Linked DNA regions of Drosophila melanogaster. The protein of the gene in region 2 interacts with the protein of the main gene of each other region in a biochemical or structural test. Each region holds a gene or a part of one and is shown on either strand. Other genes may lie near its edges. The genes, in order: esc, His3:CG31613, E(z) and Sfmbt.

What was found.
Region 1: of the proteins of His3:CG31613 (region 2) and esc, one has a biochemical effect on the other in vitro, tested with the Drosophila melanogaster proteins (2 studies listed by BioGRID, with this or other methods).
Region 3: of the proteins of His3:CG31613 (region 2) and E(z), one has a biochemical effect on the other in vitro, tested with the Drosophila melanogaster proteins (3 studies listed by BioGRID).
Region 4: the proteins of His3:CG31613 (region 2) and Sfmbt form a complex in vitro, tested with the Drosophila melanogaster proteins (2 studies listed by BioGRID).

Annotation. Positions count from the first base shown.
Region 1 is NT_033779.5:11,826,704-11,831,249, forward strand, and holds esc (extra sexcombs), read right to left. Parts: upstream 2,703-4,546; 5' UTR 2,533-2,702; coding exon 2,473-2,532; intron 2,401-2,472; coding exon 2,267-2,400; intron 2,205-2,266; coding exon 2,033-2,204; intron 1,669-2,032; coding exon 757-1,668; 3' UTR 501-756; downstream 1-500. Other genes in the region: Pde1c (phosphodiesterase 1c), read right to left, coding at 3,574-4,128. UniProt on the Drosophila melanogaster protein: Polycomb group (PcG) protein.
Region 2 is NT_033779.5:21,423,250-21,426,279, reverse strand, and holds His3:CG31613 (histone H3), read right to left. Parts: upstream 1,088-3,030; 5' UTR 1,031-1,087; coding exon 620-1,030; 3' UTR 559-619; downstream 1-558. Other genes in the region: His4:CG31611 (histone H4), read left to right, coding at 1,331-1,642; His2A:CG31618 (histone H2A), read right to left, coding at 2,117-2,491; His2B:CG17949 (histone H2B), read left to right, coding at 2,718-3,030.
Region 3 is NT_037436.4:10,634,075-10,639,763, forward strand, and holds E(z) (enhancer of zeste), read right to left. Parts: upstream 3,806-5,689; 5' UTR 3,688-3,805; coding exon 3,566-3,687; intron 3,504-3,565; coding exon 2,772-3,503; intron 2,711-2,771; coding exon 2,550-2,710; intron 2,367-2,549; coding exon 2,352-2,366; intron 2,020-2,351; coding exon 1,922-2,019; intron 1,864-1,921; coding exon 1,674-1,863; intron 1,612-1,673; coding exon 1,042-1,611; intron 974-1,041; coding exon 564-973; 3' UTR 501-563; downstream 1-500. Other genes in the region: CG34001 (uncharacterized protein), read left to right, coding at 1-124, 193-498; Cnep1r2 (CTD nuclear envelope phosphatase 1 regulatory subunit 2), read left to right, coding at 4,230-4,251, 4,349-4,420, 4,480-4,626, 5,141-5,295. UniProt on the Drosophila melanogaster protein: Polycomb group (PcG) protein. Catalytic subunit of the Esc/E(z) complex, which methylates 'Lys-9' and 'Lys-27' of histone H3, leading to transcriptional repression of the affected target gene.
Region 4 is NT_033779.5:13,170,740-13,178,385, forward strand, and holds the start of Sfmbt (Scm-related gene containing four mbt domains), read right to left. Parts: upstream 6,018-7,646; 5' UTR 5,930-6,017; coding exon of another isoform or gene 5,798-5,929; exon of another isoform or gene 5,795-5,797; intron 5,731-5,794; exon of another isoform or gene 5,684-5,730; intron 5,644-5,683; exon of another isoform or gene 5,484-5,643; intron 5,214-5,483; 5' UTR 5,075-5,213; coding exon 4,928-5,074; intron 4,627-4,927; exon of another isoform or gene 4,538-4,626; coding exon 3,700-4,537; exon of another isoform or gene 3,488-3,699; intron 3,203-3,487; coding exon 1,904-3,202; intron 1,827-1,903; coding exon 1,577-1,826; intron 1,512-1,576; coding exon 1,000-1,511; intron 927-999; coding exon 574-926; intron 46-573; coding exon 1-45. Other genes in the region: CG43925 (uncharacterized protein), read left to right, coding at 5,798-5,929, 6,018-6,149; CG5439 (uncharacterized protein), read left to right, coding at 6,512-7,646. UniProt on the Drosophila melanogaster protein: Polycomb group (PcG) protein that binds to the Polycomb response elements (PREs) found in the regulatory regions of many genes.

The DNA.
Region 1 (4,546 bases), 9.6 Mb from region 2:
GCTATTTTCATAAACTTCCATTAGATACAACCCCCCAAAAAAGAAAAAAACCCATGATGGAAATGGCCTGCACTTTCATCAAAACGAGAGAGAAGCGTTCGATAAAAATCCAGCTAGGGCATGGCAAATCATTGTGGGACTCTGCTCGCTTAATCAGTCTGCTGGGAGCTGTTATGGCTGGTCGGGATCGCTGTCCGCCTGGCCTGGCTTGGTTTCCCACTCATCCCGGTTCGCACGCCCGTTGGCAGTTTCAATTTCGTCGCGCTTATTCGCCGCATTTCCAGCAGATTGGAGCTGGATGGCGTTGCAGCAATGCATATAAATGACGTAGCAATTGAAAGCCATTTGTTATGCGCAGCTTTGCTTTGTTTCGCAATTAGAATTGCCAACTGGGGACACTCAGTCAGCTTGAAGACGTTTACATGGCTTAAAGAGCAGCAGTTTGGATTCTGGTTAAGCAGAAAATACATCTTCAATGTTGCTTATATACATGTGAAATTACAATGTACTCACTTTATTTACAATAAATAAAGGCAGCAGAGTAAGCAACAACTATTCGTTCTTACATCTAAAAAGCAACCGGCTTAACATATTTAAATCTCATCCAACTATTAATTGGATTTACTTGAAATAATTTGGAACAGCACAGGAGCGTAATTCTATATCTTAATGCTAACCAACTAGGAACTAATTGAGGGAAATGTTGTAAGTTTTGGCCACGTGAGATTTGGTTTGTGGTTGCGCCCAGCTGCGCCATCAGATGGAAGTTGTTTGTCTGCGGTTCCATCGCCACACGGTGGCGTCATCGCACACGTAGACCAGTACGCTGGCATCGCGAGAGAAGGCTATCTGGCGCACAGTGGCCACGCTACGCGAATTGTGCAGGGTGGTCATGTGTGCGCCCTCGGGATCGCTGGGATCCAGCTCCCACACATACACCTTGCCCTGCTGATTGCCCAGGGCAATCACCTTCTGCCACGGATTGAAGCCGAATCTCACGAACCAGATCTCGCACTCGTCGTACTCGAATTCCGCAATTATCGTGCAGGAGGAGTCGCTCGGCTTCACCTGCTCGAAGCTCTGATGTAGTTGTCCCGGTTTCCAGCAGACAATGGCATTTTCGCAGGACTTGGAGAGCACAAAGTTGCCGAACCACTGCACACAGTCCACATAGTTCCTGTGTATATCCCGCGTTGAAAAATCGGGGAAGTGCTTGGTCACCGTGGGGAAAGGCAGCGTTGACTTCTCCTGGCTGAAAGTGTTCGACAGTTCGATCTTGTGATGGAACTCGGGCGTATTCAGACACCACAGCTTCAGCGAGTGATCCATGCCGCTCGACACAATGCGATCTCCACGCATATTAAAGTCGATGGACAGCACCTCATCGCGATGTCCCTCCACTCCGCCCAGGATGGCAATGCACACATGGCTCTGGATGTTCCACAATCTTATCGCGTGATCCTTGCTGCCCGAAAGCAAAAGCTGTAGCTTGTGCGGATGGAACTTCAGCTCGTTAATGGCCTGTCCATGGCCAATGTAGTTGCCCACCGCCTCATTCTGCTCGACATCAATAACCCGGATGACTCCGCGGTATCCAGCAGCGGCCAGGAGAGGTGAAGAGGTCTTAAGGTCGTACGACCAGGCGCAGGTGTAAAATACTTCATCGGGCTGGGAAGGGAATTCAAGATTTGTTGATGTATTTCGAGTTTGTACAATTACATTTGCGACCATATTCTCAGTTACTCTCGGCTAAATTAACAATATAAGCTTTAATTTGAAAACTTGACTGTTATGAAAAACCAAACTTAATACAAGAAATGATAAATGTTTGGATATTGTGAAACCATGCTGAAAGCCTGTAACGATTGTTCTTACTTTAAAACAATTAACAAAAGCAATGATTTAATAGAAACTTTGACTGGATCCCACTTTTTCTACAGCTTTGAATGCGATGTCTAATGTATGAAGCCCCTAACTTTAGCCAACTGATCAATAGGGTCTTGAAAGTGTATTCTGTATCCTGGCGACTCACATCCGGATCTGCATAGCAGTGGAGCAGCTGCATCCCGCCCTGTCGAGGGCACTCGTAGACGGTCACCCGGTTGCTGCCCGCCGTAGCGAAGACCTGTGGCTCATCCTTGCCCAGCAGCGTGTTGAAGGCTACGCCGAAGATGTTGGCTCCGTGGTTCTCCTTCACGTGGGTGCTTCATGGTAATCATTTGTAGGTTCAGTATCAGTGGCCAGCTGAGAAAGTGCATATTCTTACTCGTATTTGTAGGCGGCGCGACTTTTTGGCTTCGATTTGGTGCTCCGGCGACCGCGGCGCTTGCTGCGCGTGCTGGATGACGGGGACTTGCTGCGCGAGGTGGTGCTGTTGGTGGTATAGCTGGCCGACTCATCCTGCAGCCGGCACATGGCCCAAAAGATCCATTAATTCTCGGTTCGCACAGCCATTTGTCATTCGCTACTCACGCCGCATGATTCCTCCGACTCCTCGGGCTCGTTGCCGTTTTTCACTTTATCACTGCTCATTTCGAACGCGCGGCACGTTTGTACGGTTAAATGAAACCCAAATTAGGCCGCGACTTCAATGAACTATTCGATAATGCTTTTTTTAAATGTTTAAATAACGAGGCGAATGAAAATGTTTTTTTTTGGCGGCAATGGTGTGACCCCAGTCACGGATCGCGTAAAATACCCAGGCATTGCAGGCAGTACGGTCTTACCATTGCGCAGCGTGGCCACCTGGTCACGATCGGCTGGCCAGTGTTGGTAAACATTAAACGGTATTTAACACACTTAGGCGGGAAAGTTAAAAAAAGTTCAAAAACGACAAAACACATGCGCAAGCTAGTTTTTTAATATAGAAAACAAACAAATGTAGGACAATCAACATGCCATGGATTCATGTGCGGTATTCAAACTTTGTACATGTATTCACAAAATTACACTGGTCGACAAGACTAGGAGAGTTGCTGCTTGCGAGTGGCGTCAAAAGTGGAAGATATAGTTTCTCAGAAATGCAAATGTATCATACAAATACTTTAAGCAGTTTTGAATACATTTAAAGTATATCTTCCAGTTCTCACTCCTTCAAGTGCTTACTACGTATGAATGTAAGTTTGATTTAATAGTTGCACGGAGTATTTAAACGTAGTAAGCAATTTTTTGTCCAAACGCGGCAACGAAACATTTACAATCCCGCTGAGCGCGGCTGGGGAACGAAACAAGTGTCCTTTTTTCTTTTTTTTTTTTTGATTAGTCTAGGATAAAATAGTTATTTACAACAGAAGCGAGCAAAAGATTTGGGGTAGGGGACAGAGGCTAGACAGAAGATTACAGCAGTGGAAATCGCAGACAGAGGTCAGCAGACAGATGGATAGATTGGATAAAGGAGAGATAGAGAGACAGAGTTCATAGAGTTATGTGTGTATATATAGAAAGTAGTTCATTCTGGAGCTGTGTGGTTGTTGGTTGGTTAACGCAAACGTGAAACGATAAAGGCAAATCGAACGAACTGAAGAGGCGTAACGGATAAACGTTAGTCTAGCATAGAAATCAAATTTCAAGTACGTTTTGTTCGTCGACATGGACCTGGCCCAGGTGGGTGTCCTTAGGCGGCGTTGCCGATGCACCGCCGCTGGGTTACTGCAACTGCCACTGCTGCCGGCACTTCCCGCTTGACTCTCGGCCGCCTTGGCACTTGGCTCCGCGGTTGCGCTGGAGGAGGTGGTGGTTTGGGATGTCAATGTGGATGTGCTGGCGGGCGGCGGTGGTCCCTTGTCGCCGGGATCCTTCGAAGGACTTTCTTCCATCACCGATTCCCTTACGGTTTCCAGGGCGGGTTGAAGCTTAGGGGCAGGTTGTGCGATAGTTTCGCTCGAGGTGTTGGATGGTGGACCCGTTGGGCCACTGTGGGTCTGCGGCGCCTGGGAAACGCCCTTGGTGCGACTCTCTATGCTGTCCTGGTTGTCAGCGCCTGGTGTGACACCTGCACCTGCTCCCCCAGGCGACGCCTCCTGCAGGCTGCAACTCCTATTGGAGTTGTTGTTGTCCTGCTGCTGGTCATCGCGTCCGTGGCTATGGCGACTGCAGTTCAGGTTCTTGCAATTCCCATTGCAGCCCTCCCTGCAGAAGTAAATGGCCGGCATACGTTGGGCGCCAGTTTCGAGTGCCAAGGCGGTCAAGTTTTTCGGCGCCCAGCAGTTGGCAGTGAGTAACAGCGAAAATGCAAATGGGCAATTTTTGGGCAACGAGACACCACGTTGATTTGACGTTGCATAGCATTCGGATTGTTTGTGTGTTTTGTGCAAAAGTTTTCATTTAGTTTTCATGTTTTTTTTTTTTTTTGGTTTTAGGTAAATAGTTTTGGCAATAGAAAGAAAGAATATATAAATAGAACATCAGTTGAGAGATTGTGATAAAGCTTTTGGGTTTAGTAGGGGCAGTGGATTGGACTTTTCCCACGAAGATTGCCTTACTCTAAATAAAATATCTGTCAATCATGTTCTAAAGTTGAACCTTCAAGAATTTCACTGTTCACATT
Region 2 (3,030 bases):
CAATTTCCGTGCTGAATTTTACATAGGTTTTATTTTTTACAGGCGTTTGAAGGGACAGTGTCAATTGTCCCGTACGACCTCTTCAATAATAACACTTTCTTCAGTTAACACATGGAAAAAATATAAAATAGCTAGTTTTATTTTATTATTTTCTGTTATTTTATAAATATTGCCGTCATCAATGTAATTTCATTAATTTCAAACTGTCTTACACAGAATTCAGATTTTTTTTTAGATGTTTAAGGTTCAGAGTCCCTTGCCCCGCACGACACTTTCACTGCTTTAAAGGATGTTCGCACAAAGAACAAATAAAAATATATATTTTTATATATATTTTATATTTATTAACCTCTTCTTTAATTTAATAAATGTTGAGCTGACAATTAAAATAAGATTATTTTTATTCCTTCTCTGGCAGAATTAGTATTTTTACATATGATTTAAGACCCAGTACCGTTTGCGCCATAAATAATAGAATATGAATTTTGTTCTTATTTTTTTTAAGTTATAAATAGTCGGCAACAGAAAATTTTATCTCATTGAATCTGGTTTGTGGTCCTGAAAAGGACCGATTATAGAGTACGCTAGCGCTTTATCTGCAAGTTAATGCCGTGTCAGCTTAAGCACGCTCGCCGCGAATGCGTCGCGCTAACTGGATGTCTTTGGGCATTATGGTGACACGCTTGGCATGAATGGCACACAAGTTGGTATCTTCGAAGAGACCAACCAGGTAGGCTTCGCTAGCTTCCTGCAGAGCCATAACCGCCGAGCTCTGGAATCGCAAGTCCGTCTTAAAGTCCTGAGCGATTTCACGCACCAGACGCTGGAAAGGCAGCTTGCGGATTAGAAGCTCGGTGCTCTTTTGGTAGCGACGAATTTCACGCAAGGCCACGGTTCCAGGGCGATAGCGGTGGGGCTTCTTCACACCTCCGGTGGCTGGAGCACTCTTGCGAGCGGCCTTAGTAGCCAGTTGTTTGCGTGGCGCCTTTCCACCAGTCGATTTGCGAGCAGTTTGCTTGGTACGAGCCATCTCCGATTTGGGTTTCACTAAAGTTCACGTTCACTACTTCACGTTTGAAAACACAATAAACGATCAGAGCATTTGCTACCTACTTATATAGCAATCGTGGACGGTGAAAGAGAGAGAGAGAGAGAGAGAGAGAAAAACGGAGGCCATTTCATTTGACGAGCGAAAAGCGAACGAACATATCGTTCGTACTCTCTCGGGTTTTTGTCGTTTTACCTATAAATAGGGGCACACAGAAACGTTGAAATTAGTTCTTTAGTGACTTTCGTGCTGTGCGTGTATAATAGTATAGAACAGTGAAAAATGACTGGTCGTGGTAAAGGAGGCAAAGGCTTGGGAAAGGGTGGCGCCAAGCGTCATCGCAAAGTGCTGCGTGATAACATCCAAGGTATCACGAAGCCTGCTATCCGCCGTTTGGCCCGTCGAGGCGGTGTGAAGCGCATATCTGGACTCATATACGAGGAAACGCGTGGCGTTCTGAAGGTTTTCTTGGAGAACGTAATTCGTGATGCCGTGACCTACACGGAACACGCCAAGAGGAAGACAGTTACAGCCATGGATGTTGTGTACGCTCTGAAGAGGCAAGGCCGCACCCTCTACGGATTTGGCGGTTAAAAAGTGTACATCCTGTGTACCCCTATTAAGCAATCGGTCCTTTTCAGGACCACCATTCAGTTTTTAAAAGGAGGAAGATTTTCAAAAAGTATTTAATTTTATTGGTCGGGACTCCCAAAAAATATGTTAAACTAAAAATAAATGTCTGTCGTTCGTACTCTTTTAAATAGAATGTGTATTTCTAACATGGATTTGTACAGACTGTACAAATGGTTTCAGACACCGCATGTACAGCATCACATCGTGGTGTGCGATTGTTTAAAGAAGCAAATTATAGTTTATACCGCATATAGTAGAAAACCCTTACTACATTACCATCTTTACGTTAATAATTCTTTATGATTTACTAATTACAACAAATTGCCAAGCTAAAAAATTTTTCAATTCTTTGGTAATAATTTGGTCGTCCTGAAAAGGACGGTTTGATTGACGATTTTATGTACATGTAGGTTTTTAGCTTAGCCTTTGAAACGTTTAGGCCTTCTTCTCGGTCTTCTTGGGCAACAGAACAGCCTGTATATTAGGCAACACGCCACCTTGTGCAATTGTGACGCCGGAGAGCAGCTTGTTTAACTCCTCGTCGTTGCGGATGGCCAGTTGCAGATGACGCGGAATAATTCTAGTCTTCTTGTTGTCACGAGCAGCATTGCCAGCCAACTCGAGAACCTCAGCGGCCAGATATTCCATTACGGCAGCTAGGTAAACTGGAGCGCCTGCACCAACACGCTCTGCGTAGTTTCCCTTCCGGAGCAAACGGTGAATACGGCCCACAGGGAATTGAAGACCGGCACGGTTTGAGCGGGACTTTGCCTTTCCCTTCACTTTGCCACCTTTTCCACGTCCAGACATTTTGCTTTGCGTTTATTTCACTTAGTTCACTTTACGCACGGAACACGAATGCTCGCCTAACCCAGACAGCGAAATATTTATACTTTTCCGTTTGCCTGCGCATTCAGTTAGGGGTGGGTGACTTAGACCTGAATTGACTGCTCGAAAAAAAGTATAAACGTGAACGCGTTCGGGCCCACATTACGATAAGTGAATTGTGTTTGTGAAAATATAAGTAACGTGAACAATGCCTCCGAAAACTAGTGGAAAGGCAGCCAAGAAGGCTGGCAAGGCTCAGAAGAACATCACCAAGACCGACAAGAAAAAGAAGCGCAAAAGGAAGGAGAGCTATGCCATCTACATTTACAAGGTTCTCAAGCAGGTCCATCCTGACACCGGAATTTCGTCGAAGGCGATGAGCATAATGAACAGCTTTGTAAATGATATTTTCGAGCGAATTGCTGCCGAAGCGTCTCGTCTAGCTCACTACAACAAGCGCTCGACCATCACCAGTCGGGAGATCCAAACGGCTGTTCGCCTGCTTTTGCCTGGAGAGTTGG
Region 3 (5,689 bases), on a different chromosome or scaffold from region 2:
ACAAAACGCTGGCAAAGGCGATTGGGCCATTATAGAGCTGCAAGGCGACCTGGAGGTGCGGAGCAACCAGGATATGCACGGCCAGTTTATTGGCGATCTCTACTACAATAAATATGGCCAACCTGTGAGTTGTAATTGTAAAGTTATAATTTAACCAGCTCTTAAACAATCTGATTTTACTTATATCATAAGATTCTCATCATTGGACATCACATTCTTCAGGGACGTGAACAAAAGTTGGATAAACCATTTGCGGTGCTGGAAAAGTCCAAGACCAATGAGGGAGAACGACTCCTAGAAACGAGCATGGCCTCGCAGGATGTCAGTATGCTGAACGCCACCACGGGAGCGGAGCGCACAGTGCTGGATCATACGATCGCCCAGGAGCACAAGAGTCGCCAAAGAACGGAGTACACTGTGCGCGCCGTTTGCACCAAAAAATTAATCTTCAAATCGCGACCCAAACCAATTATAGCCAATGTAGCTAAATCCGTTTAGGTGTGTTTTCAAAAATATAGTTTTATTCAATTTGTATGATACGATTTTCATAAGTAGACTCGTTATCAAACAATTTCCATTTCACGCTCTATGCCCACGAACTTCAGCTGCTCCGTGGGTCCGTATCTGTAGTCAAAGAATAGCTCTTCGCCGGGCTGAATGGCCCGCTTGGCAAAGATGCCGATGCGATGATCGCCGGTGACCATCATAACCTTGGCATAGCAATTGGGATTAATGGAATGATTGGCAAACCGAATCTTGTTGCCCTTCCGAGTGGCATCCACAACAAAATCGTTGTTCAGATTGAAAAGAAATGAGCACATGTACTTGTCGTAAACCTTGCCACGGCGATCGGCTTCATCTTGGGATATGATCTCGCCACAATATTCCGAAATGAACTCATTCTTTTGCGCACCCTCCTTAAGAAAGATGCCCCAGCCGGCGATGTCAGACGGAGCCATGAGCAGGTGCTTGTCTGCAATTGAAGATTAAATTAGTTGACAGTGGCGAAGACCAATATGGATATATAAGAAGGTTTCTTACGCAGTCCTCGCTGCACGCACACGTTCTTGCACGTGATCTTGGTCAGCTTAAACTGATCCGCTCCGCAGGCCTGGCACAGATCGGGATCACACTCGCGCACTGCCAGATAGCAAGGACACTGCTTCGTATTGCACTGAGCCTTGCAGCGACAGCCGGGGAAACGATTCTGGCAATCGCTGCTGCAGTTGCAGAACTTTTCGCAGAAGTTTTGTGTCTGAATGCAGGAGCAGTTCATGTCGCATGGATGTCCGGGATGGTCGCAGGGCGTGTAGTTGTACACGTGATTCGAGGATGAGTCCTTCTTTAGCTGAATCTTACGACAGTGCAGCGACCACAGACGTTGCTTCTTCTTCTTCTTGCGCGGAGGTGTGAAGTCCTGTCGCAAATCCTCGAAGCTAAACTCAGCATCCTCCTTCTGGGCAAACTCGTACACCTGACGACAGGTCTTGGTCAGCATGTTGTGCGCAATCGCGCAGTAGTTCTTTAAATACACTTTATGCAAGACCCGATAAAGTGCTTGGTCAGCGCCTGTCCAAACGCACTGCGTACTGGTGATGTTCATCATGCCAGCTGGTGAGAAAAAGTGAAATATTTAACACATGGTCCAACCAATCTGCTAACTTAAAACTGACCCATAATGGAGTTGATCTCAGCCACAGCGGCGCTATTTACAGTCAGGCCATTATCCTTGCTATTCTCATGATTAAAGTCCTTGTTGCTAAACTGACTGTTGCTGTCATTACTGTCCTCGGAGCTGGCCTCATTGCAGGAATCAATGGGAGGTGTCTTGCTATCGGCCGCCAGCTTTTCCTTCATGCCATCCTGCAGCATATAACAGAATTAAAATACCATTTAAATTTATAAAGTGCATCCAACTTACGATCAACATGTAGCAGGAGTTGCTGCAAGGTTCGGCGAAAGGCTTCAGTTCCGGATAGCGACGCTTCTGGAGATTGGGACCCGCATGTCCTTGCAAGCCTGTGAACACAGAGCAGCGGGATTAGAATAACTCAATCGGGCGAAAATCACTTGATGTCTATGAAACGCTTTTGGATTAGCATGAGGGTAATCGGTTACATTTGAAGAGATAGAGAGAAATGGTCCAGCCAAAGCCACACGAAAATGAGGTGAGCAACACCGAGGGGTCAATTTAGACACATGACAAACATAGCCAAATTATCCACCGATATGGGTTATTATAAAAATTATATTCATAGACAGCGAGATGAGGATGCGGAGGCGTTGACGGGCAAACGGCATGAGAGTGTGTGCGTGTGGTTATCGAAACAACAACTACAACAACGACTCACCCTGCACATGGTGACCTAAATTGCAATTAATTCAATACATTTTGGAATTTCGTTTTTTTTTTTGGGGGTTTAAGAAATGGTACAGATTTGTGTTTTTTGGTAAGATAATATTGTTTCCAAACAAGAAAAGAAAAGCAAAAACAAAACGTAAAGTCATTAGGTAACCCAGCTGGCAGCAGTTCCCATCGTTTAACTTACGGTGCAGGAAGCAGTCGTATTTGAAGCAACGACGACAGAAGAGCGTGTGAAAGGAGTGCATAGTCCTTTCCCGGGAAACGCTCTCGGCCTTGATGCCGTCAATGTTGGGTGTGCACTCCTGTGGGCGCTCCGGATCCTGGTGCTCCGTAAGCTCAATGTACCTAGCAAAAAGAAAAAGCCGTAAGAAGGGATATTTACTAACCTGGTTATCAAATTACATACTTTTCTTTGAGCTCTTGCGCGGTGCCCTTGTCTGGAAAGTTAGCGCTGATGGCCTGAAAAATAATGGGCGCAGGGAAGGGCAGCTTGTCCTTGACTTCTTCCACATCGGGCTTAACATCCGCATCTTCAGTCTCCAGCGGTTCTTCAGTTTCCTTCTTCTCAACTTCAGTCAGATCCCCTTTGCTGTCGGTTTTCTCAAGCTTCATGGGAGATTCACCATCTGCGTCAACATCAACTACCCCATCATCTTCGCCCTGTTTTGATTTCGCCAACGTCTCTGTTTTAATGGCAGTCGCTGTACCCGGAGCGGCTTCCTCCAGTTCCTTGCTGTAGGAGCGCATAAGGGCGTGCACCAGTTCTACGAAGATGGCATCGTCCATGAACGAGGGATCCTTGTCGCCGTGAACCTTGCCATCGTAGTTTTTGATCAGTTCCTCTATGAACTTGCCATCCTTATCGAGGACCTCGTCGCCCATATAGGGTATATTGTGCAGCACCGTCTCATCCTCCACCATGAAGTTCTGCTGTGTTGGTGCCCACGTGTACATGGTGGGTATGGGAGTGACCGCGTTGATCACGCAAATGGGCACCTTTTGCGGACCGCTGGGAATGCCATTGTAGCTAGTCACCTCCGCCCGCTTCACACAGTCCACATGCGGCGGATCGTAGGGTTTAGCCTGCCAAACCTTCGACTCGCAGTACAGATCCTGTACATTGTGGTTGTGCTCGTCCCTGGAGGATATGTGTACATAGATTTTCGATTCCCAGACATCCACCATCTCTCCCGCGCTTACCAGTTTCTTATCCACGCCTCCTTGATCTCGTCGGCACGTTTGTAGCGCTTCTGCTGCCTGATTTTGATGTACTCCGACTTGACACGCCTCTTCCACTCGGGCGGCACTTTAGTGCTATTCATAATGCCTTCGAGGGACTTTATATTTGTTGATTTTACGTATAAAAAACACTGATTTTGCTACAAATATTATCCGCCTTTTTTTGCAACAGCTGCCGCAGTGTGACCGTTGTACTGCAGGAAGAATAACTTAGACACATGGGTGTATGTAGAAGACCATTTAGTGGGTACTTAATTTGTCCGGTAAGCCATTAATTATATTTATATTATAATAAAAACTATGATATTTTTGTATTAAAATAATATAAATATAATATAAATAATACATAAATATAATACTCACTTTAAATTAGCTATACAACCATTTTGTACTGAAAGTAGGAAATAAACAAAGAGCCCCTCTTTGGTACGACCCTGCTTTGTGTAGTGTTGAGAAACGCAGCCCGTTATCAGTGCTCTCAAACGTGGAATGTCATCAAAAACATAAAAAGAGGAAAAGAAAGCTATGAGAACCTCATCAAATAATAATAATAAATACAATAATATTTAAACTGGACAAATTTAATCGCATTAAGACGGCCACGAGCTTTGAGGAAATAGCTGCAATGGAACCGTCAGCCTGCGAAGGTATGTAACTCGCCGGCAAAAGAGAGCCGGAAAACGCGCAAGCCACTGACTATGTTTACCAACCATAACTGGGTTTGTTTTCCTCGCTCCTCTGCAGATCTCAAGGCCTTCGAGCGGCGCCTCACCGAAGTGGTTTCATCGTACCGTCCCTCGACGTTCCGCTGGCGCAGTAAGTTGCATCCGTATAATGAGAACACCAGGGAGCATTACAATCCGTAATAACCATAGAGCTTCTTGCAGTTGTCCTTTCCGCCATGTCCATGTGCACCGCCATCAGCGCCTGGTACTGGCTACGCGATCCGCGCACCACCGTTGTACCGCTAACGGAGTCCCTCTGGATTCATCCCGTCTTCACAGTCGCCACCCTAACATTGGGTAAGAATCGGTGTAGCCACTACTGTACTCCGTACATAGGTCACTTTTTGTAGTCAACAGCGGCGGTCATTGAACCTCGGATATTCTACCTAGTATGGAGAATAATTTTAATACCAAGCCATACCATGCTATTTAAATCCATATAATCATATCGTAGAGCAAGTCGATACTATATATCAGGTTATCTCAGGCTACTCGGTAAAAAGAAAGGATCAAAATCAAGAATTTCAAATTTTTAGGTATTTCTACTGTTATTTTGAGTAGAATACACTCCTTATATCTATCACATCTATGCAAACTACATAAGTACATTCTCCAAATTTTAGCAACATTAGGTTGCCTTTAATCTTGTCAAAGCTCTTCGCTTTATCAAATTCGATTTGTATATATCAATATTGATAGTCCAACTGATTAAGAATTTTCAGCTAACAAACACTTCCATTTAATCTAATCTAATTTTTTTGGTTTGAAACTGACTTACTGATTTTGTAAACCTTATCATTTCTCTCCGCAGTCGTCCTGTTCATCCTGGGCATACAGAAACTAGTCATAGCTCCGCAAATAATTACATCGAGAACGCGAATGGTACTGGGAGACTTTAATATGAGCTGTGACGACACGGGGAAGCTGATACTCAAGCCGCGGCAAAGTAACAACAACAGTACATGAGCACCGGCCAGCTTCCAGGACGTTTATTTAGTTAATTGCTAGTTCCCTTACCCTTTTCTTTTTTCCTACATGTTGATTCGGACACCCTCGCTTTGTAAGCGTATTTTTAAAGTACCTCTTATTTCTCCCCTACACATTTTGTTTAATTATAGAAGCTCCTTTGTACAAAAAAACAAAAAGAAAAGAAATCAATTGTTAAGCTTTATGTGTTTCGTTAATGGCGTTACCCATCGCTGCCAAATACACCAAGCGACATTTCAATATCAATTCATCTATAACTAACGAGTTGCTCGCAAATTGTGCAACGACAAGTGTTTTTGTATATTTGGAGCGGTTTTTATCGAGCCGCATTCTGTATAAATAGGGAGTCTGTGCAGTTCCAAGGCATCAGAAG
Region 4 (7,646 bases), 8.3 Mb from region 2:
GTCGGCCAGACGCGGAATGTACTTATTATTCGTCGCAGAGGAGTTCTATAGTGGGGTAAAAAATAAGGACTTAATTAGTTAACGTATGATGTTGCATTGCTGGTTGGGTGTGTGACGGAACGATTGGATGTCGGTGTGTTGGGGCTATTGGGGCTGTTGCAAGTACCAAAAATAACAGTGCGTAAATTAAATTATATACAAATTGGCGTTTTATGAACGATTTGATTTTGGTTATATACATTTATGCAGTTGTGTTACGGAGCTTTAGCACAGTGGTTTAAGTTGGGTCGGACAATCTATTTCATATGAAATAACAAAAACTTAAGCTAAACAAGGCAAACTTGGATTAATATGGAGTATTTTGGTGTATAAGCTGATGCTTCTATTTCGAAAAAAAAAGGCAAATAAATTAAAGGGGAATTCCTCTAAATAAAATTTAATTAATGTTTAAAACAAAAACCACTATGCTCTTTGGACCTCCCGTTTAGATGCGTGAGCTGAACTTCAGGCGGGCAAGCAGGCTGGCTGGCTAGATGGATGACTCTACGCACTATTATTCCGCTAAGTACTCACCGCAATGTAGCTAGTGGCTTTGCGACCCACAGTTGGTGGCGCAGGAGATTTAGTAGTAGATTTCTTTACCGTTTTGTTACTGCCCGTGGCGAGAGTTACCAGCGAGGCGGACCCACTTCCACTGCCCGATCCAGCGATCAGATCACTGGACGACTGTGTCGTTGACTGCTCGGAGATGTGGCTGGTGCTTCCGTCTCCATCGCCATCCGCATCGGGATCCTCCTCGTCGCCTTCCTCCTCGGGCTGATTGTTCTCGTAAAAGGCAGCATTGTGATGCTCCGGCTTTAGCTCCAGCTTGATGCTCAGCTTGGGTAAGTGCGGCGTGGTCTTGAGCGCAATTGTACGCGATTTGACTGGAATAACATTTGAAGATGCATGATGATATACAGGAATTCGAATGACTTTGATTAGAAAAAAAAAACTTACCCGACTGAGTATTATTATCGGTTGGAGTTTTGCCTCCCGCTGCTCCCTTTTTGGGCTTTCGCTTTCGCTGTATTTTGGGCTTTGGTGCCGGTTTCGGGGCCTGCTGATGTGCTACTCTCGGTGGGCCCTCTAGCTTATGGTTGACCAGTACACACCATCCGACTGGATATATATCGGCTGATTCGCAATCCAACCACTGGTCGTACTCATCCGTCCATCCGTCAAAGTGAACCTTGAGTAGTCGACCAACCACTCGCGCCACCGTGGCCACGCAAACGAGTCGGGGATCCATGAGATCTGCACACTCCAGACTCATACCCACCTCAAATCCATGATCGGGAATAATCCGATGAAATAGATGCTGGCCAGCGGCTACGGCTCCCGTGTCGCGGAGGTAACCCTCCCAGGTGAATGTACGAGAGTCGTAGCCGTTCGGTGGGGTAACCGAAATGTTGTTGACGGAACAGAATCCAGCCGGAAAGATACACGGACTCTTTTCATGGTAACAGAACCTAAAAAAAAATACAACAGAAGCTATTTAGATTTGCCGACTTAAATTGAAGCTTTTAAAGCTCACCAATCCGACCCTGAGGCATCCGGTTGGTAGGAATCAATGCGTATCATCATGTATCCGAACTTAAGAACCGCCATTACTGTAGCCGGGCATATGGATGAAAGGTTGAGTGGATCCACCGCTTCCAGCTTCATGCCCTCCACAAAGCTATTGGTTTTGCCGTCACTGTAGTATTCGTCGAAGGTGAAGTTCATCTTAAACAACTCGATTGTGGCATCGTCCTCATGAACCTCAATCATGGCTTCGCGACCAGCTGGAAGTAGGAATGGTATGTAAAATGTTAAAATGGTAATGTAAAAACATGTATGCAGAAAAAGTAAATATTATTACCTAACATGCGCTCCAGATAGTCCTGCGGTGCAGCCAGATTATGGCCTACTGTGGTTGCCCAGCCAACTGGATGGATGATGGGCGAGTCCTCGTGACACCAAAAGCCGTCGTCGGAATCGAAGTAGCGCAGGAAGAGGCGCTTTCCCACGATTTTGGTGACGGTGGCCAGGCGCACCTGCGAAATGCGATCCTTGTCCACGCACTCGAGATTCAGGCCAAGGCGGAAGCGCGACTGGAGGCTGTCGTTGATTTTGTTGTAAAAGTTGGAGGGAAGGGTGCGGGCTCCGGATAAACGTCCCACCAGAAAGTCCTTCCAGTCCTTGTACTTGTGCTCGATGGTGCGGGGCGGAATTAATGGCTTGCCCCGAGTGGCGCACCAACCCACCGAATGCACCTCGGCATTGCAGAGGTTCACCCAGAAGTCGTGCGAGTCCGTATCGAAACCCTCGTAGCTCATTAAGGCCTTATAGCCTTTGATTTCCAGGATGGTGGCCACCCAAAACGAGGTAGGAGTCTGACCCGGTTGGATCACTTCGATGCTATCGCAATCCGTATTTTCCACTTCAACCTTCATGCCCACGCCCAAATTGTCCCATACCTCGCAACCGGGTGCATGAGGAAAACAAGTGACGGGTGCCGCATTGAAGTTCTCCTTGCTAAGGCGGGGCAACCAGTCGTAGGAGTGTGTGGGATCATACATGCGCCGCCGAATGCTGATTATCTTCTCCATTTGCGGACACGGTACGGGAAGGCGCTCGTATTTGGGTATTTGCGGCAGGTCATCCTGTGGGTAGATGTCCTTAAAAAGTCGCAAGGCCTTGGGCGTGGGTGCTGCGCTCAGATAAGAATTGGGTGTGGATGCACCCTCCTCGGTGCTGCCCGGAGCAGTGGCATCGCCCACTGCTCCGCCGTTTAACGCAGCAATTGTTTCATCTGCTGCCATTTGTACATTATTGGCAGCTGCGTCGCCGCCCATTGACATGGGTTCGCCGAAGCTATTCAACTGGGTAATCTTTGATTGATCCGTAATGCGAAAACGATAATTCGCATTCTTAATGTGCGCCGCATGCAGATCGAGCTCAATATCCGACTGCGACTGTTGCTGATCGCCAGGCAAATCGGCTGACTCCGAACCCGCTCCAGGATCCGGGGAACTAGTGGTTGCCTGGTCTCCCTCCATCTTAGTGTTAAGTACCAACGAATATAGTTCGCCTCGGGCACAGGCCATGCTGCAAAAACGTCGCGATTTTGTGTAGAATGTGTGCTTCACTCCAATGGCGCCACAACGTTTACAGACAGCTGTAGAAGAAGAAAAAACGAATCGTTTAAGTGCATATTAATGTAAACGTTAATTTCGTATTTAATTTAAATGCTATCATGGTATACAAACCCAAATTCTTGCAAAACAAACCCAAAACCATAAAGATAAGTGAAACTAAGAGTAGGATTTAAAATAAAAAGCTTGAAAATTAATATCGTGTAGAGTGGATCGATTGCAGATTTACAGGTGGTTTTCATTGTTTAAATAAACGAATCATTACTAATTACTTAGAAAGAAATAACTATTTACTTTATCAAATACATAAGCTAGTAGACAGAGCAAGCCTTGAAAGATTGTAAATACAAGGCAAAGGCTTTTGGAATTTTAGATAAGTTCAATGTACATCAAACTGATGATGTTTAATAATATATGATCTCAACTAAGATCTCTACCACTTATCGTTACTTATCGTTTACTTTTCTGCCCGCAATGTTCTAATTAAGAATCGACCCACTCTAGTGCACAGCAACCTTACCCATGCCATCTTTCTGTATGGGGATCACCGAAGGGTCAATGTTGCCCCTGTAGGCGATGGGTGTCTTCAGCACCAGTCCTGGCCTGTTAACGGGCTCGATCTTGCGCGTCTTGCGCTGTGATCGCAATGCGGAGGACGTGGAGGCACTGCAGGTGGCGGTGGTTGCGGTGGAATTGGCTCCCTTGGCCGTACTATAGGTGCGCTGCATTTGCTTGCTGGATGTGTTTTCAGTGCTGACCATTATGTTGCCAAAGGCATTGCCATTTAGCGTACCCATCGCAGGGACCAGAGTTGTGCCCAGCAGCTTGTGGTGCAGCAGGCCATCGGGCAGTGGAACCAAAAGATCGTGCTCGACTCCAGGGACGCCCAAGCTTCCGGGCATCTGTGCCATGCAGGAGGAGGAGGACTGCGAAATGTCCTTATCGGAGGAGGTCATAAAGTCGGTGCCATCGTACGAATTATTGTCCTCGTTCATCATCACAAAGTCGTCGATGTTGATAATCTCTTGCTTGGGCTCCAACTCGGATCCATTATCATCAAAGTTATTGTCCCTCTGACCGTACACTTGGTCGTCATCGTCCACGACCGCCTCCATGGCCATGCCAACCATGCCGTTCTCCACATCGTTATCCATTGCCTCCGCATAGTTCTGGAAGACTGCCGCCGCCGCCGACTGCTGGAGCAGTTGCTGCTGCAGGCCGCCCATGTGGGCAAATCCGTACAGGTTGTTCGAGTTGGTGGCAATCAGGGTGCCCGGCTGTACACCCAGTGCCGCAGCAGTCGCCGCCGCTTGACCAGTGAAATCTCCCCCCATTAGGCTCATCATCGGATTCATGTCCTTTTTTTGAGCATTGTGGGTTTTGGAGATTGGAGGTGGTTCGGGTTGAGGATCGACCATTGGTTATGTGTGTTTTTGTGTCGAGATTTAAATTGTAACCAATATATAAATCAAAGAAAAGAAAGTAGAAGAAATAAGTAAACAAATTCCAATTGTTTATAACTGAGACAGACAAAAAAGATAGTTTGGAAATTTGGCCAATCCCCAAGGAGTACACGTTGAAACCTAAAGAATTTGGGTTTGTTTTCGACTCCGAGGACTATCAAATATAATGGGGTGCCTTAGTGATAGACACGTATCTCGTTTTCGCGATGCTCATTTGAAAGCATTTTATATTTATTAGTCTTCGAATTGAGAGATTGGCTTCTGAATCAAACCGTCTGCACTCACCAAAGTTGGCTGATGGGCGGAGAGGTCCTCCATGACAGAGAGTCCAACAGTGGGATGACCCAGCAGAGTGGCCGCATCCTCCAGTGTAATGCGCTCCGAGTTGTACTGACTACTCATCCACATCATGCGCAGCTCGGATGGGTTCATTTTAAGCCAATGGTGCTATCGATTCCGGATTGGTCAGTATGGCAAAAGCATTTATGGGACAGCTTTCTGGGTTCTCTTCAAAAAGTATTGCTTTCTACTGCTGCGTGTCGCGTTCCTTTGTTTTTCGAACTCGCATTGACTGAAAACAAACATTGAAATAGTTTAGTGTTTTGAAATAATAAAAATTGGTCAAGATGGGGCGAATTTAAAAAGTAAATCCCTATTTATTCCTATCTAAAAACTACGTAGTTATTTACTTAGTACTTTTTAAGCTGCCTGCTAATTCGAATTTTTAAAAGAATATTATGTTCATATTTAGAAATCTCCGTATCTATTTGACGCTGATTGCTAATCTTGCTGCAATTTTATGGACAATGCAACATAGAATGCTCCCAGTTTGTTTGGTTACGAATAGCTCCTGGAACCGGCGAATGTTCCGGCCATATGGGCTGTAAATCCTGACCGAATCCCAGTGTTCCTCGTTGTTCGTTTTGTTTGCCTCCTTCTGTTCCCGTTTTCCTTTTTTTTTCATTCTACTTTTGCCTTTTCTGCACGCAGATGCTGCGCGGTGAGGGAAGCGTACGGAAATGCGATTGAAGCCTGTCGTAACGGTCGGAATTTCAGCCGCCGCGTGGAGTTTCACACAACTGAATAAGGTTCGAGCATATATCCGATTTATCAGAATTTTTGGTTACATTTCATGGGTTCAATCTCGAAAAGTCAATGAAGCGTTTGCGCAGACAGCCAACGCGAACAGAAAAGAAAATTTACGACGTTGCTGCCCCTGGATGCAAACTTACACTTTTGCACGTTGGACGCGTTCGGATTGGGTTTCCCCAGTTGCTAGCACTTGCGGTATGACATATTATTGGATCTTCAATCGTTTAACAATAGTTTTTAACAGATTTTTGTGTGCTAACTTCTTTCGCATTTGCGCGAGCAGGGATGGCAATTATACGCCAGGGCTACACAGTCGCACAACAGCGTTTTGGCATTATTTTGCCCGCTAAATCACCAGGGATGCACAAGTGGTCGCGTTCAGCGAGAAATAATGCAGAGTGATTGTTATCGATAAGTGTACAATACTGCTTATCTCAGTAAAAACACAATTTTAATCGAAATCGTTGTACCTTACCAATATGAATTGGAGAAATTAAGCGCTTTCAGTTATAATTGGTTTGTTTTGATAACGCAACCTATAGTTTTATAAGTTTTTTAGGTACCATAAATTATTTACAAACAATTTTTTTATTTTAATAAATCACCTAATGCTGAGTCACAGTCACTTAAAATCATTAATCGGTGATCTGAATGCGCCCATTCCAACGCTTATCAACACTGTTTGGCTTGTTTTGTTGTCAAGCAACCAGTGTTGGCACACAACGGAGTGAGAAAAATGAGTAGAAAATATAATTAGTTGAATAATAGCCACAAATAATGCCAGAAAATGCATCCAGCTCGATGCCCACAGAGGCAGGCTTCCGGAGCATGCGCAGCCAACTGGCGGGCAGCACCTTTGGCCAACGGCGCGAGGACATCTTTCGACGTCTACAGGAAAGTGCGCATAAAATCTCACAGAAGTTCAGTGGCAAAGAACTTGCCACTGAGCGGGATGAATCTGTTCAGGAACTGTGCGAATCCCTCGAGGAACTAATGTCCTACGGACTTAGGCAATCGGCAGGCACTTCCTCCTTCAGCGCCGCCAGCTTCATCCAGAACATGCAGGAGATGGTGTCCGGAAATGCGGGCGGAGGCAGCAACAACAATGACGCCACTTTCTGGGAATTCTGCCAGACGCATTTGACGCCCCACGAACGTCAGAGGTATATGGACCTTAAGCAGATCTGGACGAATGTGGGCAGAGGACGTGCCTTCATACGCGCCACACTGAACGAGAAGCGACTGCATAGCCATGTGCTCACCTGGCTGAGCGACGAGGAGCAGCTGCATCGATTTTACACACCTTGGTCCCTGCTACTCAACGATGAGGCGGCCAAGAAGCTGCCAGAGATCGTAGACTCCCTCAGTGATGTACTGTTCGCCCTCAATGTGGACACCACTGAGCTTAATGCACCCAGGAGATCGACGCCAAGTGTTGCCGTCAAAGAGGAACCAATTATATTCACCACCAGTCCAGTGCCGGTGGTGGGACGCCAAAAAAGACCTGGTATTGCGGTGGAACGACCCATTGAGTGCGTTAGCTCCACAGAGGATTTACTTGGTGCTCTAAAGCCCATCGAGTCGGTGGAGGTTCAGCAAATACTCTCCAAGGAATCCATCGAACAGGAGTTAGCCCAGCCACAGGAAGAAGTCAACTTGGGTCCCTTCGACCCCATTGAACCCGAGCTGGAGTTTCTCAAGACGCCCTTGCCAGACATTGGCGCGCATGTTGGAGAGTCAGAGCTCTATGAAGACCGAAGCGACACCTCCTCGCAGTGGAGCAAGTCCTCCTCCTCTGCCAATTGCTTGGCTAACAGCCAACAGCAAGCTGCGCTGGAAGAGCATGTCAACCAGCTAAACGAAAGATGCGCTCTGCTGGAAACCCGTGTGGCGGAGCTTAGTCTTCAAAATC